4 linked regions of the Tribolium castaneum genome follow. The protein of the gene in region 1 purifies or fractionates together with the protein of each later gene. This does not show direct contact. Links are inferred from orthologs where the notes say so. Each region holds a gene or a part of one and is shown on either strand. Other genes may lie near its edges.

What was found. Proteins that work in one complex are often made in the same cells at the same time.
Region 2: the proteins of 7SK snRNA methylphosphate capping enzyme bin3 (region 1) and Prp31 purify together in Homo sapiens (affinity purification with mass spectrometry; 3 studies listed by BioGRID and IntAct, counting the BioPlex papers as one, with this or other methods). This does not show direct contact. The link is inferred for Tribolium castaneum from reciprocal best matches to the Homo sapiens genes MEPCE and PRPF31.
Region 3: the proteins of 7SK snRNA methylphosphate capping enzyme bin3 (region 1) and U4-U6-60K purify together in Homo sapiens (affinity purification with mass spectrometry; 4 studies listed by BioGRID and IntAct, with this or other methods). This does not show direct contact. The link is inferred for Tribolium castaneum from reciprocal best matches to the Homo sapiens genes MEPCE and PRPF4.
Region 4: the proteins of 7SK snRNA methylphosphate capping enzyme bin3 (region 1) and serine/arginine-rich splicing factor 7 purify together in Homo sapiens (affinity purification with mass spectrometry; 3 studies listed by BioGRID and IntAct, with this or other methods). This does not show direct contact. The link is inferred for Tribolium castaneum from reciprocal best matches to the Homo sapiens genes MEPCE and SRSF3.

Annotation. Positions count from the first base shown.
Region 1 is NC_087395.1:19,349,893-19,356,090, forward strand, and holds the start of 7SK snRNA methylphosphate capping enzyme bin3, read right to left. Parts: upstream 4,021-6,198; 5' UTR 3,866-4,020; intron 81-3,865; 5' UTR 76-80; coding exon 1-75. UniProt on the Homo sapiens protein: S-adenosyl-L-methionine-dependent methyltransferase that adds a methylphosphate cap at the 5'-end of 7SK snRNA (7SK RNA), leading to stabilize it.
Region 2 is NC_087395.1:18,106,345-18,111,632, reverse strand, and holds the start of Prp31 (U4/U6 small nuclear ribonucleoprotein Prp31), read right to left. Parts: upstream 2,840-5,288; 5' UTR 2,745-2,839; coding exon 2,408-2,744; intron 2,355-2,407; coding exon 1,531-2,354; intron 1-1,530. UniProt on the Homo sapiens protein: Involved in pre-mRNA splicing as component of the spliceosome. Required for the assembly of the U4/U5/U6 tri-snRNP complex, one of the building blocks of the spliceosome.
Region 3 is NC_087397.1:1,344,094-1,349,458, reverse strand, and holds the start of U4-U6-60K (U4/U6 small nuclear ribonucleoprotein Prp4), read right to left. Parts: upstream 2,840-5,365; 5' UTR 2,699-2,839; intron 2,639-2,698; 5' UTR 2,635-2,638; coding exon 2,466-2,634; intron 1,325-2,465; coding exon 787-1,324; intron 740-786; coding exon 341-739; intron 295-340; coding exon 1-294. Other genes in the region: zinc finger protein 131, read left to right, coding at 3,732-4,019. UniProt on the Homo sapiens protein: Plays a role in pre-mRNA splicing as component of the U4/U6-U5 tri-snRNP complex that is involved in spliceosome assembly, and as component of the precatalytic spliceosome (spliceosome B complex).
Region 4 is NC_087395.1:18,120,836-18,126,018, reverse strand, and holds the start of serine/arginine-rich splicing factor 7, read right to left. Parts: upstream 2,840-5,183; 5' UTR 2,700-2,839; intron 2,602-2,699; 5' UTR 2,594-2,601; coding exon 2,401-2,593; intron 340-2,400; coding exon 147-339; intron 1-146. Other genes in the region: ester hydrolase C11orf54 homolog, read left to right, coding at 3,211-3,266, 3,329-3,408, 3,457-3,555, 3,600-3,775, 3,822-3,989. UniProt on the Homo sapiens protein: Splicing factor, which binds the consensus motif 5'-C[ACU][AU]C[ACU][AC]C-3' within pre-mRNA and promotes specific exons inclusion during alternative splicing.

The DNA of each region.
Region 1 (6,198 bases):
GGTGTTGTTGTGATGGGGGCGGTAATTGTTGTGGGGTTTTGACGGGGGTTCGAGGACCATGCCGGTCGATGACATTTTTCCTAAGCAAATATGGCGTTAGATGGTGCCTGGTTGGCCGTGACAAACGATACTCAATTGTCACAGACCGGTTATTCAACCAAAATAAACAAAAACCGCTGTTCTAAATGCACTTTTCTAAATATATTGTGGGTCATGGTCTGATTGGATAAATCGCGTTACAAAATTAATTAAATCACAAAGATCGCGCGCGTTTCTTTGTGTTTCGGATGAGTAAACTTTCTATTTTAACATCATCCGTGAAAATATTTCAGAATTTTCAACTAACGCTCGTAGATTAAAAGAGAAAGTTTCGATAACGGAAAAACAATTTTTAGTTACTTAGTGTAAAAATTGAATTATTGTTTTGGATTGTATGGTTTTTGTGAAAATACATAATTCAGGCGGGTTTATTTACAATGCAGCTGAAAAATTCCACAAACAAGATGTCGAGATAAAAGTTACGTCAAGACAACACAAAGAGGTTTTACGATGTTTACATTCTTACTAGCCCATTTACTGAAATTATTAAATTTGTCGATATTATTTTGCATAAAAATAGACTGAATTATAAATTTACGACGACGTCACCATCCACCTACGTAATACGAGACGAGACGAAAAAATCTGATTTGTCGATAAATTCAAAAAAGAAAATTAAATATTTAAAATGGCGATGCATGTTTAAAATTAGACAGATTCAATTAATTCAATTATTATTAGTTTTTTATTTCTATGGATCGTGAAACATGATCATTGAATGTTGAAAATGCGTCAGCATTGAATCATTGAAGCTTAAATTAATAAATAAAGGTTGTGCTAACACACCTTGTAATTTATTTGTTTACGAATTTTAGAACACCTATATTTGGGCGGAAATGCAATAGTGATGACAAGAACCGAAAAGTGTAACTAGGTCAAGGTCATCTTTTTCAACTATTAATTGTTGACTTAAAAAGTAAAACATACCAAAAATGTCTTCTTGCAAACCAAAATAAAAATATACAATATTTATTCAACATAATAAAATTGTTTTTGATTATCAGTATGTATTATAAACCCTAAGCCATGTCAACTTTTATGCAACGATTCAAGTTAATTTAAATTTAACTAAATTAATTAACTTATAAGGAAATGTAAAGGTAAAGGTGTTTCAAGGCAAAGATTCTTCTTAGTTTTTTTTAAATGTTGTCTAGTAGGTATTTCGTCTTTTGCAATTATTTAAAACCTTCTTCCTAATAAGACAATATTATTACTTAAGTTCTAGCTGTAAAGACAAATTAGTTAGAAAAAAATGGCCATTTTACATTTTTTTGTAATTTTGCAGTAAGCGAAGGGTTACACCGTTGTTTTTACCAACACCATGTATAAATATTTTACCCAAAAAAAATCTATCGTAATATTTCATTTATTTCAACCACTTGCAAGCAATTTAATTATTATCTCTTAAAATCAACTGAAAACTTAATTTAATTTATTTTTTTCAGAATTTTTCTACAATTCCTTAAGCAATTATAGGCCGGTTTATAGAAAACTTCATTAATTTCTAATTCGTTGTTAAAACTTAACAACGCGAATAAACTAATCACAGGCGAATAGACTAATCACATTGGTTCAATTTGGTCACGTGATCTGTTAATCAGTGAAATTAATGACGCTTCTATAAACCGGTCCTAAAATTTATGAATTATTAATTATTATTAACTGTTATTTTTTGTGTCATCTGAAAACAAGCAATACTTAAATGTTGTCCTGTGATAAAAATCCATAAAAAATGTCGCTAGCCCCAAAAATAATAAATAAAGTTATAAATTCAAAATTTAAATAAACGTAATTTTAGGGCTACCAAAATTTATTTTATAAGAATTTTTGCTCGAAAACATTTAGACATCGTTGTTTTAGAATAACACTAAGGGTCGGTTTATAGAAAGCTTTATTAAAATATAATTCTTTGGGCGCATTTACCAGGTTTATAGAAAGCTCAATTAAAGTTAACTGCCTTGTTAAAAGTTAACAACGCGAATGGACCAACCAAATTGCTTTAATTTGGTCATGTGATCAGTTAATCACGCATTTAATTGTGGATTAAAATAATGACGATTCCATAAACCAACCCCATTTTTTTAATTTCATTATATTAATACAAATTTAATAAATTAACTTAACGGTAATTCAAAATTACCGGACAATCTCTCGGGTGCGGATAAAGGACATCAAAGAGAATTAAAAATTCCTATGACAAAAATTGTTTTAGCCTTTTTCCACGAGCTATAACTACTCAAAGTAGAATTTTTCAGTTAAGTTTTTGGTGATTCAGATTACATGTTTTTTGACGTTTTGCGTAAACGACAAAAAAATCAAAAATTAATGTCATATGATGTACAAAACAATTAAAAAACTCGCAAATTCGCTAATAAATAAAATTCGACATCATAGGAAACAAAAGAGCAAAAATCGATACACCTGCTAAAGAAAACAAATTAAAAAATATATAAAAAAATGACTTCTTAGAAAAAATATTTAACTTCATTTTTGTCCTTAATTGAATGTCTTTTATCACCATACGAGAGTTTGTCCGACACTTTTGAATCACCTTGTAAAGAAGAGTAAAAAAATTTGGAAAAATTTCACATACATAGCAAAAAACTTAATAGGCCGGTTTATAGAAAGCTCCCTTAAATTTTAATTCGTTGTTAAAAGTTAACAACGTGAATAGACCAATCATTTGTTCACGTGATCAGTTGATCACGCATTTAATTGCGAATTAGATTATTGACGCTTCTATAAACCGTCACTATGTATTTAACAGTGAATACTGAATGCGGTGCGACCATTAGTTTCTGAGAATAGTGAAACATACTTTTAGCAGACTCACCCCGTATATACTCAACTATTTCTTGGTTTCGGCACGGTTTGAAGCTTGGCTATATTTTCAATATGCAAAATGTCAGTTGTAACAAGATCTAACGTGTTGGCAACGAAGTAATCATATATTATATGCCTGGATTTTTTATCAATGAAATATGTAAAAATAAATAACCCACACGCAATATCAACGATAAAAGATTCTTATTACAAAAAAAGTAACAACAAAACTGCCATTATTCATGCAAACATGCATTTTTGTCAAACAGCCAAATTACAAATTAATTACAAATATCTGGGTGTAATGTAAGTATATTGACAGAAGATAGCGATTAAATTCGACTTAGGTGACTTGATGATAGACATTTTATAAATACTCTGTATTCTTGTACAAGCCGTTGCGTGTATTCTGATTTTTCGGTCGCACTTCGGTTACAGTTGTCTAAGATCAAGGATTTGACTATTTCTAATTTAATCCGTCAACACATTAAATATTTATGACCAATCTAAATGCACCAATAACTGCAATAAATTATTCTTATCGTAATCGGTATAATACACAACACCTCAAATAAATCAGATAATTAATTACCATCGATTAAATTAATTAAACTAAAAATGTGACGTTAAATTCCGGCCGGAGCGTATAATAAACGTCCGGATTCCCGCAATTTGATAACAAACCCGCGAAAGCAGTGTTCAATTAGGAACCTTCCCACTGAGCAAACTCCCGACTAAATAACCCTCTCCGAAGTTCACCTCAGCGGTGGCCCTTCTAAATTTACGAAAATTTCGAAAAAGCCCGGCACCCCAAGTTCCCGCAAAAAATCGGCACTGCGCACGCGCACACCGGAACAAACATGTATGCCACTGCGGAGATCGACGTTGGCTATCGTTTTGGGCGAAAACTCCTCACAGATTACATAAATGTCAAAAAATTTACCTTCAACGTGTCCGGCGTGGCTTCAGCTTTCGTTTGATGCCCTTTGAGGGCCACTTTTCCCTTAGGTTCCGCTGAAAAACGGCCGAAAAAGAGACTTCACTTTGCAACGCACCGTCTGAACGACTACAAATCGTTGTGCTTGTAAACTAGACTCCATTTTAATATCAGTGCCGGAGTTTGCCGAAGCGGAGCCGATGAGGGACGATGGGCGATTTAGCGAGGAGTTGAAAAGTGTTATGTTCCTAATTATGTAATTTTCGGGTAATTGGGGAGGTAACCGAAAGGTATTGCGGATGATTGCGTTTTTTCGACGTTCTAAATTCGCGACCTAATTAACCGGAATTGATTATTTGAAAATGTGTCGATACGGTCCTGGAGTTTTATTGGCGCAAATGATCATAAATTCGAACCACTTATAATTATTGGGAAATAATTAGTTTTTCCTGCTGAAGGAGTGGCTGAATTCACAATTGGAAACATTCTTGAAAAGTTTTGTTTATAGTCTGTTGTAACACCTGCTTCGAATGCACTTCGTAAATATTTTTGGACAATATATTTGTATTTTATTTTTGGATGACGTGCCAAAATTGCTTGTCTTCCGTTGTACAAAGTGTGTTATTTATTAGTCATATTTATAGGATCTCGATGTGATGTTTACCTTATTACTCCAATGCGAAAATAGATATTTAAGTTTGAATGCAGCTTTATAGTTTATGAAACCATCTTCTGTATCTTTTCGATCGGACTTTTTATGCTTTATCTAGTAGTAATTTTTATTTGCAAAATTATGACATGTTAAAGGTGAAAATGGCAAATAGTCTTAAAAAATTTGGTTTGTATCTTTAGGTATACTAGAAACATAAATAATTGTCGACCTTGAAATAAATTTTTATCAGGTTATTAGTTTTTAGACGTTTTACGAGCGGTAACTGGACAACTGGCGAAATATCTATAACCACAAAGTCAGTTTTTCTTTTCATAATTTTATCTCTTTCAAGAAATATACAGGCTGCTCCAAAACTGGTGCACCAGCTCACTGGTAAAATGTTGGAAAGCATGTGTAGATCATATGAAAAATCTTGAAAAAATTCCTAGTCATATTCAAAAAAATATGAAGCTACAAACTTAGTTTACTGACTTCTTCAGTTTTCATTATTTTTTAATGTTTCTATGTTTCACACTAAGTAATCGTTCCCCAACGTAATGAATAATTATTTTAAAAATTACTATCTGACTTTAGCAGTTCCTTGGATTTAAAAAAATAAAATTTATCCAAAAATCACAATTTGTAGATGTGCCAACATTGGGATTTCCTATGAAACCACTTCAAAAGTTATTCATTTTTATTGTTGATCGGGATCTATTGCGATCTCGATTGTTAGACAACGTTGCCACAATCATTTCTTTAAAGTTTGTTATTTACCAATTAAAAAAAAATATTTTTACCTTTTTATGAAAGCATTTCTCTACCGCGTAGCATTGAGTTGGTGCGGCTGTTGTTGAGCACCCGGTACAAGGTGTTAAAATAATAATGTAAGATATTTAAGGAGGTGATATGGTATGGACTAAACTAAACAAAAAGGTCTTTTCTAATAGAACATACACTTTTGACAGCTTTTTCAAGGGTGCACAAAATGCTGCTTGGCAATGTTTCATAAATTGTTTCAAAAGGTGTTCAAATACTTTCAAAATTTGGAACATGTTTTTAAGAACAAAATCTTATCTTTGAATCAGACGAGTGGTTTGGTTAATATTTTGTCTAGCCACCTATTTTTCAGAATTGAATAATCTAATAGTAATTGTAATACAAAAAACGTGTGTTAAAGTGTCATTTTTTATCTTGAGGTAATTTTTTACTCATAGTTGAAAGATCACTTTAAAAATACCCATGTGCATTTTACATTTATTAACAATGCGTTGACAAATAAGTAAGATATTACGCTCGAAATTTTTAGATAAAACACTCTGTATACGTGTATCACATTTTTGCCTATTTCTCATTTTCCTATTTTTTATGCTTTTCTTTCAACAAATACGTTTTTCAACTAAAACATAAAAAAACAACGTTGAATTTGCTTTCTACCTTGATTTTTAACCTTTTTTATAACTCAGATTTTCCTAAAAAAAGACATGAAATTTTATAAAAAATGAGTCGATTTTCAAGTTTTAGAGGTTCAGTTGTTGAGTTTGAAAAAAAGAAAAAATGACCTCTTTTTATATATTATTTTATTTATATATTAATTATTTATTATTATTATACAGAGTGGCCCGAAACTCACTCCCCACCACAAAAGTGCATATAGTTTAGGCAATTCTGAATCGAAAGTTTTTTT
Region 2 (5,288 bases), about 1.2 Mb from region 1:
AGTTTTGTTTATAAGAGTGTGCCGTGTATATTTTTATCAATTCCGTCATTTTGTATTTCGATTTACTTTCATATTAAATATACTTTTATTAGAAGTCTCAAGTATCTTATCCCGAAGTTCCAACATTAAGTCAGAAACACACTTAGGTCGAGTTGTATAAAAAATTTCAGGATTAAACCCATAGCCATTGTTATGAGAATAATTGTTAGGGATTTAAATCAGGACTAAAGATGATACAACTCGACCTTAGAAATGTAATCACATTTTTTTTAAGCCAAAGATACAAAATTCAAAATATAACATTATATTTTGAATTTTGTATATATAACATTATATTTTGAATTTTGTATAATCTATTTTCAACTATCAACATCATTTAAACAAGGATAAGATTATAAAGCAATAATAGATAAAGGAGAATTACCAAAGTTTCAATAAGTTTATTTCTCAATTTGAAATCTGAATGTGATAATTAGAACGTAAGAGTTTCAAGGAGATGAACCATTTTTTGATAATGAATAATGTGTTTTCCACTGTCAATGTAAGTCCTAGAGATTTTCTTTTTGCAAGAACGTTTAATTTATTACTAATAATATAAATATTAATATATTATTCTTCAAAATATTTACAACTTTTAGATGCAAAGTATAAGACTGAATATTTATTTTCATTGAGTTTTAAGTTAACATTACTGCAATGTTTGGCTATTCTTTTTAGATCATTGTTTATTTGATTCCATTCAGTATCATGGTAATCGATTTTGTTTGAAAAATAAATAAATAAAAATTAGTATAAAACGCGAAGAGGAGGAATGCAGTACAGAATTACAGACGAAACCGCTTTTTTTTCAAATTGAAAGCCGTTTGGTTTTTAAAAACCCGTGAAAATTTAACTCAATTCAATGTTACTACTGCATTTTTGTCTCTATTTTTTTTAAACTTATTTTGACATAAGTTATAATACGGAAGCTTTAATACATTATATTTAACAATAATCACTAGACTAGTAAAAAAACGATTGATGGACTTATCTCATTATTGCACTGAATAAATGTCCACAAATTTTCGGTGTTATAACAACTGTTACTGTTTAATGACATTAAAATAAATCAATCGATTACAAAACCAGTTATTGCATTTGAAAGAGAAAATTTTATAGCATACGTTTCTATATTTTTCTCAAAAAGACTAAAACTGGAGTTATTTCGTTAAAACATCGAACACCCCAATTAAAAAAAGGATTGGGCCCAAAACTGAGCACTGGGGTACACCTGAAGTTATGTGTTTCGCTTATTCGTTACAACTTATTGATACCGGTCTTGTAAGTATCAAGAGAATAATAAAACTGCATTTTCATCAAACCCATAGAAAACTTTTTGCAAAGAAGATTGTGATCTCTAGTATGTTATCAAAATCTAATGAAACTATAATGCTGCTTCAACAGTAGATTGGCTAACAATATTGTGTAATTTTCAATGTAAGAAATATTTTCAATACTAGAAAAATTTAATACAAGAAAAACCAAACTTACATCAGCGAAGTTCATTCTATTGGCATGTTTCCTGAACTCAGTCATCGCATATCTCTCTTTCATTTTGCGGACTCTTTTCCCGCCCCTTTTCTTCTTGGACTGGTCGATAGGTTTCGGCAGCGGCTTGATAAACTTAACTGGGGGTGGTTCCAACAACTTGTCCAGTTTTCGTTCAATTTCGTCGCGTAATTGCCGCCCAATACGTCCGTCTTTACTCTCATGACACGAGTCCACACGTGCTGCTAGCGTGCATTTAGTGGCAACAAGTCTGGCAGCCTTCCTTCTCAAATCAGGCGGAGTATTTTGCACGATATCTGCGTAATAAACGAAACCAGTGTGCGGCAACATATTCACTTGTGAAAATCCAGACAATGCCTTCTTCTGTTGGCCCAACAATTGCACGTTACAGGCCGGAATTTTGGACAATCGGGTCAAACCCCCGGCAACCCCCATGAGCTTGGCGGCGATCGAAGCCCCAAGAATCGCCGACAAGTTGGGGGCGATGAAAGCCATCCGACTCTCAACGTATTCGTAAATTTTCAGTTTGAAGTTGTTCAAGTCTATGGCCATGTCGCAAGCTTCGTCGATTTGTTTCTTTTCGACGTCCGTTAGGAGAATCCCCTGTGTCGTGGATGCCGTGACTGAGACAACCATGATAGTTGCCTGCGTTAGGAATTGTTGCAAAATTTCATTATTTTTGGCTTGGTCTAAGTCATTCCCGAGCTCTTTGACGGTCTTCAAGTACTCCAAAGGACCAACAACAAGGGAGTCCAACTCGGGGAACCGCTTCTGGTACTTGTCGCGCACAAATTTATGGACAGTGGCTTCAATAAAACAGATTAGTTTCAACTGATTTGGTTAAAATCGTAACTCTTACCAATTTCCGCGTCTATATCTGCAGCAATGTTGTTAGCTTCGACGATCAGTTGATACTCAGGGTCCAACTCAACTGGTCCTATGATGTCGTGGTATTTTCGGCTCTTCTTCACATGGTCTTCGATTTGTTTCAATATTTCATGTAAATGGGGCGAGTCCCGTAATTTACACAACTCTCGGACTGAAGTTATTTGAGTTGTGTCTACCTCTAACTGGATGTCTTTAACGTCGGGTTTTTCTTCTTTGATGTCCGGTTTTTCATCAACTTCCATCGCTTCTTCCAAATCATCTTGATCGTTTTCTTCCAAATCAGCCAATAATTCGTCGGCCAAAGACATTTTAGCGAGTTAAAAACGTAACTCCAAAACGTTCACACAACACTTGGAAGTGAGGTTAGAAAAATGCAGTTTACAAATTGACAAGTGTCCATAGATTACTTGTAATGTGGGGCTGAATTACTGGTTGTCTATAATAATCTGCTTATTAATTTGGGGATAATGAAAAAAAACAATATAATTATTAATTAGTGAAGGGACGGAATATAGTCCGTGAAAGAGTACTTTTCCGGACACATATATCACTAAAAAAACAGTTGTTATTGTAGTTTCAAGCCATGTTATTTAAATAAAAAAAACTTTTTTTTTATTTTAGTCAACTTTTTGGTAAAAACTATAACTATAAGAACATAAGAGCAAACTTGCTTCGCCAAAAGCTCTTTTAAATACCATTTTAAATTAGAATATTAAGATAGTTGTTTTTAAAAATAAACAAAAATAAATGGAAAAAAGCATACAAATAAAAATAAAAAGGAGTCAGAGGACGCCAAAGCACCAACTAATTTTAATAAAACCGGATTGAATAAAACTGTATGCCGAAGAAAAGAAATAAAACTTTTTGACTACAAACGAACACCTTATATTCATCTTAACGAAGTTGTGGTAGATGACAGAAATATTTAAAAAATTTACTTTCTTATTAAATTTTGGATCAAGTTGTGTCTTCTTTTTAAAAACGATGCATTTGTATTTGTGAATAACTTCAATTTTTTAAGAAGATTTAGACAGCAAAAAATTGTAAAGACTTACACGTAAAGCTTAAAAATGGTTTCCGATTTATTTAACGGAATTAACGCTTTAAGATTCATTTTTTAGAAAATAATTGCAAAAACCCACAAAATATATTAGAAAATCTTTTAATAAATAATTTAATTCCTATTCATTACCCGTTTTCTATTCAACAGGGAAGCGATCATTTTTAAAATTAAAAATTATTTGGCATCTACGATAGTTCAATGCTTCAAATCGAAGCAATTTATCTGTTATCTTATTATAATAAACTACCAACCGACTTTTTAAAATTCTGATCTAGTTATCCATGACAGATACGTCATCAATGAAACATTTTGCATAAATAACTTTAGCATCGCTTTATTTGTCAATATGTCTAAAATGTTCACCGAAGAACCAAAAAAAATATGTTGGAATCTTATTTCCGTAATGGAGATCGGGTTAACGTAACTGTCACGGATAACTAGACCAATATTTTAGAAAATCACACAGTATTAATTTGTTTGAATATAAAGTTACAGTATAGTTACACAATTTGTAAATTTGGGTTAAAAAAGTACAGTTTTTTAAAAAACTCTTCAGGTTTTGGGATATACGAAAATGTTTATTATGTCATTTTAATACATACATTTTATGTCAAACTTAAAATTCTTCTAATAAATAAATATTTGTTCCTTTATTTATTGAACCTAGTCAGTAATCAGTTAATCACAATCACCACAAATCTCTATTACTTCTTAATTTGAATAAGTATAGAAATGTAAAATAGTTATTAACGATTCGATCTCTCATTGAAAGTATAAATTACATTAGTTATAATTTTGAGAGAAAATGCGACGTTGGCGTTTTTATAATTTTGAAATAGCTAATATATACCTTTTATGAACAGATAACAAATAAAATAGCACTTCTCGTGGCGGCCCTGAGTAAATGAACAAAATACCAATACCAATACAAACAATATGTTTCGAAACAAAACTTTGGAAAAGGTTACTTTCTAAAAACTAACCTGCTATTTAAATAAAACTGTAAGATCATCTCTGAATAAGCTCATAAAATCTGAGAAAAACTTAATCAACAATGCAAAAACAAAAGCGAATTACGGTATAAAATATAGCGTGGGCGTGAAAATATCCATAAATTATACACATTTCTTATGAATATTTAATAAAAAGGAAAAAATATAAATAAAAACATTGGCCGCAGTTAATGAACAAATTGACAACAATCACGACTTAAAACATTAGTTCAAGTAGTGTTGAAGGCCATTATTATTATTATGCAATTCCACAAAATATTAACAAATTCTCTGATAACTGACGAAATAATAAAATTTTCCAAAAAGTCAAAAGCATTATTACTACCTACTACCTCCAGCTTAAAATTGTACCAGGTAATGGATGTCAATACAGCTAATAGTTTTTTTTTAATTTCACTAAATTGTGAGACCAAGTAAGACCTTTTTAATAATCATTTAAAATCTAGTTAAAAGTTTTGCCCAAGAAAGGATACCTCTTACCAAAATCAGTTATTTTATAACCTACTTATAGTTAAATAAACTATGGAAAAAATGTAGTAACAAAGTTCGATATAGTTTAAATTTCTTAAAAATCATACTTTATCTTATTCCAAAACTAATACAAAGAATGCGAATTCACCGGAAAAAACTTGATTTTCCCAAGAGTTTAAAAATCAACTAAAGACTTAGCTAGAGGCGACAGAGTAACGGGAAATAGTAATATCCTTGATTTTGTGGGAAGTATTTCACGAAAACTACGGTTTTCGTTAATAGAATACAACATTTCGAATGGGCAT
Region 3 (5,365 bases), on another chromosome or scaffold:
GTCCGATTTGTCCACAATTTCGCCGTGTTATCGTACGATGAAGTAATTAGGTAATCGCCGCCGTCCCTTTGAAACTTCACCTCCGAAATTAAATTCGTATGAGCTGGGATTGTGTACAAGACGGAACGTTTGCGCAAATCCCAAATTTTGCAAGTGTTGTCTTCGCTAGACGTGGCAATGTGGTAGCCATCAGGGGAAAAATCTATCCCTAGAACCGCCTTTAAGTGACTCTCCATGAACATGATGCATCTTCCGGTCCTCAAGTCCCACACACGTCCAAATGAGTCTAAACCACTGTTGGGAAATTAATTATTTGTCACAATTTACCAAAAGTATTTACCCTGTGGCACAGACCGATCCATCAATCTGGAAGGAAATACAATAGACAGGTTTGACGTGTCCTTCCTGGTGTAAAACTTCGGTGCATTGCTGCAAATCCCACAATCTCCAGGAACAGTCAAAGCAACAAGTCCCGAGAAACCTTCCAGAGGGATGAAAGCCCAACCGGGAGACACGATGTGGCATATGGCCCTCGATATCAGCGATCGGTTCCTCGCTTTGAAAATCCCACAATTTTACTGAACCATCGGCTGCACACGATGCCATATTGCAAATATTTTCCTCCTGGCTGATTGTTGCTCTAGGGTGGAAAATAATAGCACTGGCATTACAGGCGTGACCTTTCAGGGTCTGTTTGAGTGTGCAGTCGGGCACTGACCACACTTTACACAACCCGCTCCTTGAATCAAACAAATAATTTCATTTCACTTATTAAATGATAATTACCATCCAGCTGTGGCTAAAAGTTTCGAATCTGGACTAAACTGGCAATAGGCAATAGGTCTCGAATCGCCAATCTGACTCGAATAAATCGACATAATCTGGAGTTTTTTCTGTATTTCCTGCTTCTTGGCTGTTCTAGTAGCCGTTGATAAATCCTTCGCTTTTCTGGCTTCCTCAAGCCGGGCTTTGGCCCGCGGCAGTGAATAGTGCGCTATCCATAATCTGGCTATTCGCAAACTTTCGGGGCCTTCATGATACCACGTTGTTTCGAGATCTTTTTCGAAATTTTTACGTTCTTCTTCGGCTTCGCGTCGAATGACTGCGTCTTCACCGATACGACTTAGTATTTCACGGAGGCGTGAACGCCGATCTGCCGGTCCTTCCCCGAATAGACAGATCGGTTCTCCCAATTGGCGAAGGTTTCGTTTCACTTCGGCGTCATCGGTGGAGACGTTAATAGAGCGCGCTTTACGACGACGCTCGAATTCCTCCAAGAGGGCTTGCTTGTCGCGGGACATGGCGTCCTCAAGCTCCATGTATTCTGAATAAATTAAACGTAACAGTATTTATTAGATTCAAGTGAAAGATTTTAACATAAAAACAGGCACCTAAGCACGCATTTTTAATAATTGTGTGATAATTGCTGTTATATAAACATTTTTTTTATTTACCATTCGTAGGTACACCTACAAACTGTTCTTTTTAAAAAGCAAAAATTATATAAAGCTGGGGCCTATGGCACAACTTTTTTCAATTTAATATTATTGTGCATTTATGGCATTAAAGGAGTTCTAATACGAATTATTTATTTAATAGCGCAATAAAGCATTTGATTTAATAACACCGCGGCTGTCAGTTTCAAAGCCAAAGTGCAAGTTAATCGCTGTATTAAACCTGATTTTTTCCTGAATCACTCAGGTTTTATATTTTTTTAAAAATCTGTAATCATATTATTTCGCATGACAAAGCAACTCGAGTCAATATGTGAACCTAGTTATTGACTGGGCCGTTAATAAGCCACTCTTGAGCGCTTCAAATGTCACTAAATGTCGACTGGCAAAAAATTTATCACAAGAATTTGGAGAAAATATTGGCTACAATGTTGAGACTTTAACCTTCTGCTTACCAGCTTTTTTTGAGATAAATTACGATGAAATTCATTTAAACGATCAGTTACAACGATAAATTTTACTCTTAATACTCTCATGTAATAAAGATACCAGGGTAAATTACTCGGTTTTTTATTTTTGAAAAAATAGTAGTTCATAAAGGAGTTTTAGCAAAATCAGTGGCAAAACTGTTAAGATAAAGTTAACAATATACTCAAAAAATGGAATACAACTGGACAGGTGGAATTAGTTTTACTGGTTGCATCAGATTTCAGAACTAACTCATGACTGACTCACCCTGTATAAATAAATAAATAATAAGATTTTAAGTATTCTAATAAAAAACTTTGATTCCATGACTCAAAATTTGGTTTTACAGAAATTACAAAAAACAGAACCTGGGTTTTGAGCCACGAGGCTCCATTAAGGAATAAGAAATATATAATGTACCACTTGTACTAGATTTTTCGTGAATATTTTAGCGCTACATTAAACTGATGTTGACTTGAGCTTTAGCTCATTTGTGTGCGAGGTTTTGGCATTTGGACGAAATTACGGATGCCAAAGTAATACCTGTGGAAATGTGAACCTGTGGCGGGTTCGCCGACGTGCTTTCGGCCTTTTCATTGCTATCATCGTTCCCATCGCCGGCTGCTAACCTAGCTCTTTCCGCTTCCTCCAACGAGCCGTAGTGAATATTTTTGGTTTTTTTCACGTAAGGCGCGTCCTCATCGTCGGACATGGTGCTAAAAATTGAGCAAAAATGAGTATTTGTGCAAGTTAATTCGTAAAAAACGTTTGTTTACATGTTATCACTGCTATCGGTTCAAAACGTAACGTCAAGTTGACATTTGTCGCAAAAAAAGTAACCAAAACCGCCTGGTGAGTTCAGTGTAGCCAACGGCAAGTTTTTACGATTTCTTCCACAAAAGAAATATTTCTGTTTTCTTTACATAGCGTTTTGCTATCTCTGTCTAAATTTTTTTCCAAAAAATTCCATGAGAGAGAGAGATTATCAAGTTCGGTCCGGAAATCTTAGTAAATGTACGATGTTGTGCCGCGGAAACCGCCTAAATAGCCGTGCAATGTCCGTGCTGGTGTTTTGTGTGCGAAAATCGTGAAAGAATCGGTGAATTTGTGCGAAATCGGCGCGACGACCGATCGTTGAACTTGAACAGTTGATAGATTTTCTCTTTCTTTCCCAGGCTCTGAAAAATCTCAAGTTTATAAAAATAAATATGAAAGGCCTAATTACAGTACAGTCCGAGTCTGTGTCGGTTTAATTTTTGACCCCGTTTTGGATCTGCGTTAGTCGAGTTTGGTGCCGTTAGTTAGGCTGAAAAGCCGTTGCTCTCGACAAATATTTGTGTGTGACGAAAAACCTCGACAATTCCCAAGATTTTTTACGCGAGAATTTTTTAAGACGTGCGGTATTGATTTGCCTTAAAGGCTTGGCCCGGCGAATATACGGACTATACATGGTTTATAGGGGTCTTACGTGGTTTCTATTGGCTCACTGACTCATAAAAAACTAAGGGACACATTTTTTGTCGGAATTTTCCAAATGACTGAACATTTACATACGCGTCTCCAAATTTTTGAGAAATCCTCGGCCGGACTTTGTATTGTTAAACCTCGCAAAAACAGTCGACTTGCGGATGCGTTGTGCCGTGCCAGTGAAGTGGTGGTGATTTAAAAAACAAACGCTCGCCCAAAGGCCCCAAAACCGACGAGTATTGATTATTTCGAAGGTCTCACGCTGGTGACTCATTACTTTTTGGTAAATTCGTCATCTCCAACGCGAACAGTCGGAAGGAAGCTGGACGAACATAACCAAAAATGCTGCCTCAACAGTATTGTCTAAGATGGAGGTACCACCATTCGAACTTGCAGACCATGTTCTCGCAGCTCCTCGAGAAGGAGGCCTTCTGCGACGTCACCTTGGCCTGCGAGGGGCGCACCATCAAGGCCCACAAGATCGTCCTCTCCGCCTGCAGCACCTACTTCGAAACCATCCTGTCCCAGTACGAAGAAAAAGACCCCATCCTCATCATGAAAGATGTCAAATATGTAGATATTAAGTGCTTGGTCGAGTTCATGTACAAAGGAGAGATCAACGTCGACCACGTAAGCCCCCTTTAAAAAAAGCAAAACCCTTCAATTTTTCATGACCCCATGAGAAACTCCACTTGGCCCGCAAACTGCCAACAATCGATTCTCCTCGCAACGTCAATAAAACCCTAGAGTTCCTTTATTGGGAGAGTTGGGACACTGAACGTCAAACCGAGCCAATTTTGTATTATGTGGATAGGGTATATATTTCTATCCTTTTTTATTAAAATTTTTGTTAGTAACTTATGTCAAAGGTTTATGTCGAAAATAATTTCAAGGTTATAATTTTTGTCAAATGCATAAAATGACATAATTTTACGTCAAATTTAACCAGGGACGTAGGAAACGTAGATATTACCTACCAATATTAACGTTCACATTTCTGAAATTTTTCAATATTTATTTTAATATTAAATACATAACTTAAAACATACTTCAATGCTAAAAATGCTTTTCTTTCAGTCACAATTTTTAGTAAAACATCTCTTCCCAAAAATTGGTCATCAAAAACCCTTCATATTCCCTGTCGTCTTTTTAAATTTTCTAAAAAATGATATTGAAGGTGTTCTCGTATGAAAAACGTAACAAAATCGTGAATTCCCAATAACTTTACAATTTGAAACAGAATCTAAAGTTCACGTAGATGCTAAAAGCGGCCAAGCAGCGACAGGTTCAACTTTCCTAAAAATTAGAACCAATTTTGGGTTCAAGTACCTACGTATTTTGTAAATACATAGACAAATTCCCAAAATCTCATAGATTTTGTACATAACATTATTTAGACGCTCAACTTTTCCAAAAGCTTGTTAATAAAAATGTAAAACTTGGCTGGAAAGGTTCAATTTCTCTCTCTTTCATCGATGATTACCATTTCTTAAAGTTAAGGAAAAAATGTTTATGATGAAGAGTTTAGACGTAAAATTCTTGTACTTACAAAGAAATCTCTTTTAAAATGTGGAGTTCATATAAAAAAAACAGTGAATTGACGACGACTGCCAGTCTAAACCATTTCTAAACGCAGTTAGTCGACGAAAAATGGAAACATTTTTTGACAAATTTATTTGACTTTTCGCCAAATTTCAAGTGTAACACCACTGATTTCTATCCCAATTTGTTTTTTTTACACATTCCAACCGACGTATATAAAACAAAATTTCGAAAATTGACATTCAGTGTCCCAACTCTCCCAATATAGGAACTCTATAAAACCCCAAACGCCCCATAATTATTACAAAAAAAGCAATTAAAGCACCAACAAGCCCAATTAAACAACAACCAAATCAACAAACGATCGTGTCAGTCTAACAGACACCGGCCCCATCTCATTATCCATGATTTTTAAAAGCCATGGAAACACATGT
Region 4 (5,183 bases), about 1.2 Mb from region 1:
AAAACAAAACCCGATAAATCACACGATCCAATTGTACAGCAAATTGATTCAAAAATAAAATTAACAATAAAAGAAAAAATACAAAATTAAATTAAACTGACTTAACGACTAACGGACTGCGACCCCCACAAAGACAAATAACACACCTGTGCCTTCCACCACGTCTATATCTATTACAGTCTCTTGCATAATGCCCCCTGTCTCCACATTCGTAACAACGGTCGTCGGGATGGAAAGGCCTCCCACGAGATCGAGGCGGGGGACCTCTATAACGGCCGCTTCCGCTCTTCCCGTTCGACATCTCCACACGAGCCCTGCGGCCGCAAATGGTACGACCATCTGCAAAAATTTGGCTCATTAGACTCTTTTACTGATTTGAGATTACTTATAAGTGAAATTGTTGGTTGGAAAATTGGCACATGACGAAAAATTTTGTTTTTGTTTCGTTTATGTCACTTATTGAGATTTCCATGTTGAAACATGGTTAAAATTTTTAGTTTTAGGAATTGTTGACGCACATCTGTCCTTTCAAAGCATTATTATTAAACACCTGAGAAAATGTATCGCTACTTGAGTCTAAAAATATAATCCAGAGATTCTGATAAAAACAGGTTGCACGTAAGCACACTGTTATGAGCATAAGTTAGCTTCACGCAACACAAATTGAATAAAAAATCATAGATTAGGTAAATGTACACCGAGGGAATGAAATAAAAGAAGCGAGAGAACAAAGCACTCTCCTATGGTCTGCTATAAAAACATGCTAGTGTATTTTTTTAGAATTTTGCCAATTTCTTTTAACTAAAATCAATTAGTTAATGTTAAGGGACTGAATAAATATACACTGACGCTCAAAAAATTCGGGACACCTCCAAAATTTCTGTTGTGGTGCATGCAAAATTATCACAACTTTTAAATTGTGTTTTGCCAAGAAACATCTTAGCAGTGAGTAGAGTAGTTCCTATATTGCTATTAAAAAAAAGACAAAAAAAAAATCCAAATTTAAGACTAATAACAGGGTGTTACAACCAAGAGCTCTTATAACGTTTTTTAAACGATATGGGTTGCTTAGGATGGGTGTGAGAACTATTCTTGAGGAATTTGAACAAACTTATCATCCATAAAAAAAATTCGACAATGAATGGTGCATGTGATTCTATACATTCGAGGATATACCTATGTGGTGATATTGTCCAGTTTTCAACAAACACCAAATCGGTATGGGTTTCTAAAGATATACCTGCGCAGATCATGCAATATTACTGCTTTATTAAATCCAGCTCTGGATGATATGCAGTATTGATTGAATGGTTTGTTCGGACTTTGCCACAAGTTTTCCAGACCGTCTGGTGATGGACTAAATCTAGTCTCATCTGTAAAGAGTACGTTCTTACATTCTCAACTCACATACTGGTGTACTAATTTAAGTTGTGACCTTTGATAGGCTACCATTAATTTAGGGTCTGCTGCTGGTCATTTAGAAATCATTTAGCTTCCTTGAGTCACCTCCGAACAGCTGGAGGTGAAATTTTTACTTTTACTTTTTACGAACGTCAGCAGCTAATCGTCCAGCAAGGATGGTTGATGACAATCCACTGAGTCACATTGTTATCTGATAAGCAGTCTTGAATAACAAAATACAATTTAAACCAAAAACAACCTGATAAATAAAAATTAAAAATAATTAAATTAATTAAGTAGCTACTTTAAATTAAAAAAATAGTGTCCGGATTTTTTTAACGGCTGTGTATACATTATTATTTCTCTTATAATTCTTGAAAGAAAGGATGCTTAAATGTTGTTTTGTGCAAAAGTAATAGTACTAAAAACAGTGTAGAAAAATCCAAATGCGTCAAATGTTTGTGACCCGTATGTACTTTAATGAAACTCATTAAGGTACAGATTTCGTTTTAAGACTTCTATGTACATATTTTCAGATTTCTTCCCCAAATTTCAAAAACTATAAGAGGTATTGAACTTGTCCCGGTTTTTGTTTCCATCTCCAAGCTGTTTTCCTTTTTCTTGTTCAAATTTAACTACATTTGTTTCAAATAAATCAAAAACTACCAACACCATCTTCTTTTATTACATAAATTTGCGTAAATTTGCTTGTAGGAATTTTAACACTGACATTTCCGGTTGATTTAAAAAAATTTAGGTTGGTCAAACTGGGCACAATTACTTTGGCTAACCTGCTTACCAGTATCGCCAAATTAAAATTCAGTAATAAAAATACTGAACAAAAACCTTCACCTTTAATGCAATTTATAAAAAAGCTAGAAGAGTGGGTAAAATCGATAGGAGCAGGTTGTGCGTTCCCCACACTAACAACATGGAGGACGCCTACACGCCCATTTACCTCAAACACCCCTTTACCAATTTCGCAAAGCAAATACATACCCAGCCCCCTTATTGCATCTTCTGCATCCCTGGCGTCCTCAAACTCGACAAATGCGAACCCCGGCGGATTCCTGGCCACCCACACGTTCCTCAAAGGCCCATAATATCTGAACGCGTCCTCCAACTCTTGCTTGGAGGCGCTATTTCCCAAATCACCAACGTAAACTTTACAATCGGAGCCGTACCGTGACATTTCCACAACTGGAAGAAAATCAAAATGAACTTTATCGATCGCCAAGGACGCGCCCGGTGTTTGTTTACATCCACAACAAATCAATCACATAACCACAAATACCTACCTCTAACGCCACTTCCACCACTTCCAGAACACGTAACTCTTAATTACTCAAGGCAAGATAATAATTATCACTTTTATTTTGGAGTTTTTGATTATTTCTTTGAGATTTTCAGCGCGAGCAACATGGAGCTTCGGCAAACATTTTTTCCAAATTGCCAACCAATAGGAACGCGAGGATTTGTTGATCAACGGCGCTACCAACATTGGGGCGAAAACGGCGCGAGTTTTAAAATGTGAAAGTCATTAGATAACCACGAAACAACAGCCGTTATCTGGCGACCTTACACAAATAAAGGAGGACTTTTCAAGCATGTAATAATTTAATCTCCGCTCCGGTCGTGCGATAAAACAATCTGACCTCTAGTTGACTGCAATTATCATTTTTGATTGGAGTTATTATTAAGAGACTGGGAAAACCTTTGGCATTATTATAACTAGCGTAAGTCCTTTCGCAATTTTAATTAAATAATTATACCAATCACTATCACAATACGGGGTGTTTGTGTTAAATTATGTTCAAACCCTTCTATCCATTTTTACTCATTAACTTAGGTTTAAGGTTAAGTAGGTGAGCGTGAGGACGTTGTTTTGACCTTACCCAGCGATTAATTTACATTTGTTTTCATTCAGAACCATGGAGGTCAATTACACCACCCTATCCATCGAAAAGAAGTCTCTAGATAGGCCCCCCTTGGAGGAACTGGCCAAAGGTTTGTTTGACCCCCTTAATAACAACAGTACTAATTTCCTGTCCACAGTTTTAAACAAAGGACTGCAAAGCAATTTTGAACACGTCACTGTCGAAGTCGTGGATTGTCCCGACCTGACACAACAACCTTTTACTTTGGCCAAAAAAGGTGGTCCAAAAACCCCTCTCTACTTTAATTGAATCAAATTTTAGGACTTGGTGGAAGTCCAAAACTGGTCGAAGTCGGGGGAGTCCCCTACTTGCTCCCTCTGGTGAAGCGGGAAAAAGTATACGATTTGAAAAAAATAGCCACAATGATTGGTTCAGATCCGGCGTTTATAATCGGGGCTGGAGCCGGTCCTCACCCCTACGCAGGGGTCAATTGCGAAGTAATAGACTTGCTTTTTAACAACTTGATTTATCCCACGATTTTAGGGTATTTTAAACATGAATATAGCCAAAGGGGTGGTGGATCAACAAACGCGCATTTCTAAAGTTAATCCCTCGAATGAGGAAGTGCCTATACAGGAGATTCTCCCTAATAACGAAACCAGAGTTGCCCTCTTGGCTAATCTTTTTTTCAGCAGCGGCGAGCCGGGAAAGGTAAAACGAACACATTAATATACAAAACAGTCCAGTCGCATAAGCCTTGAATTTTTGTTATAAGTTACTATGGGGTATTTAAAAATGTTTAGTCAAAGAGGAGGGGTTGAAGAAACGAAAATAAAGTGTTTTATAAAGATTATTCCAAATCGGTAAGAGCTAGAAAAAAAGTTTTAAATAAAAATTGTTAAGCAAAACAATTTACATGAAAAAGTCCTCTAGTCTTTTTTTGATATTATTCACATTAACAGAGGGTGATTAAGTGTAAAGGGTTGAAATGTACAATTTTAAAGAAACTATTAAAAACGCTTGATTGTTATGTAAAATCTTCTGTTAAATTCGAATCCGAAGGTCGTTTTTGGATTTAAAATTGTTTTTGTTACCAAAAGAAATTTTTAGCGAAACATTTACAAAAATCGAAAACTGGACACCTTTTGCGTTTATATCCTTGTATTTTCCTTCTGGATAAAGCACGAAGCTTATTTTTTTTTGCAACAGATTTCACAATAAATGCAGATTTTTACGTAGTTACACAAAGATGAATTTTGATAAAGGGAAACCGAAAAAATTACATTTTCTTGTAACGTCGCTGCATGTTTGTATGGTGAAATTTCGAGATGTGAAAAAGTTTTTTATTTTAAAATGAAGCTATGCTTCAAATAAGTTTTTGGTGCAAGAATCATTAGTTACTGCAATTTACAAAATGCGCTCGAGGTAAAATCGAAGCATATTTCCTTATGAAACGAAGTCACCGCCTTTGAAAACATTTCGAGAGCTAAAAATGGTAAATAATTAAAAAATTAATAAATGACATGCCAAAAGAATAGTTTGGAATGAATTAAAATTTCGTAATTAAGTTCTATTGAGTCCACTTTTTGGCTTTTTTATAAGAAATGTTCTTTCGACTATTTTGATATTATTAATCAAATTAACAGAGTTAGGGCGGTTAAAAGTAAAGGAATACAGTAAAACCTCTCAACAGTGGACATGGGGACTCTTTAATTATTCGTTATGGAGAGGTGTTACCTAATGGGAGGTGGGCAGTTTTATTATAGGAAAATGTTTTTTTAATGAACTGAACTGAACAAAAGTATATATTTGATCTACTAAACCTTCAGCATATAACACCACAAATATAAAAAAAGTGTGTTTCTTAAAGGATTATGAAAGCAAACTGGCCACCAAACATATTCA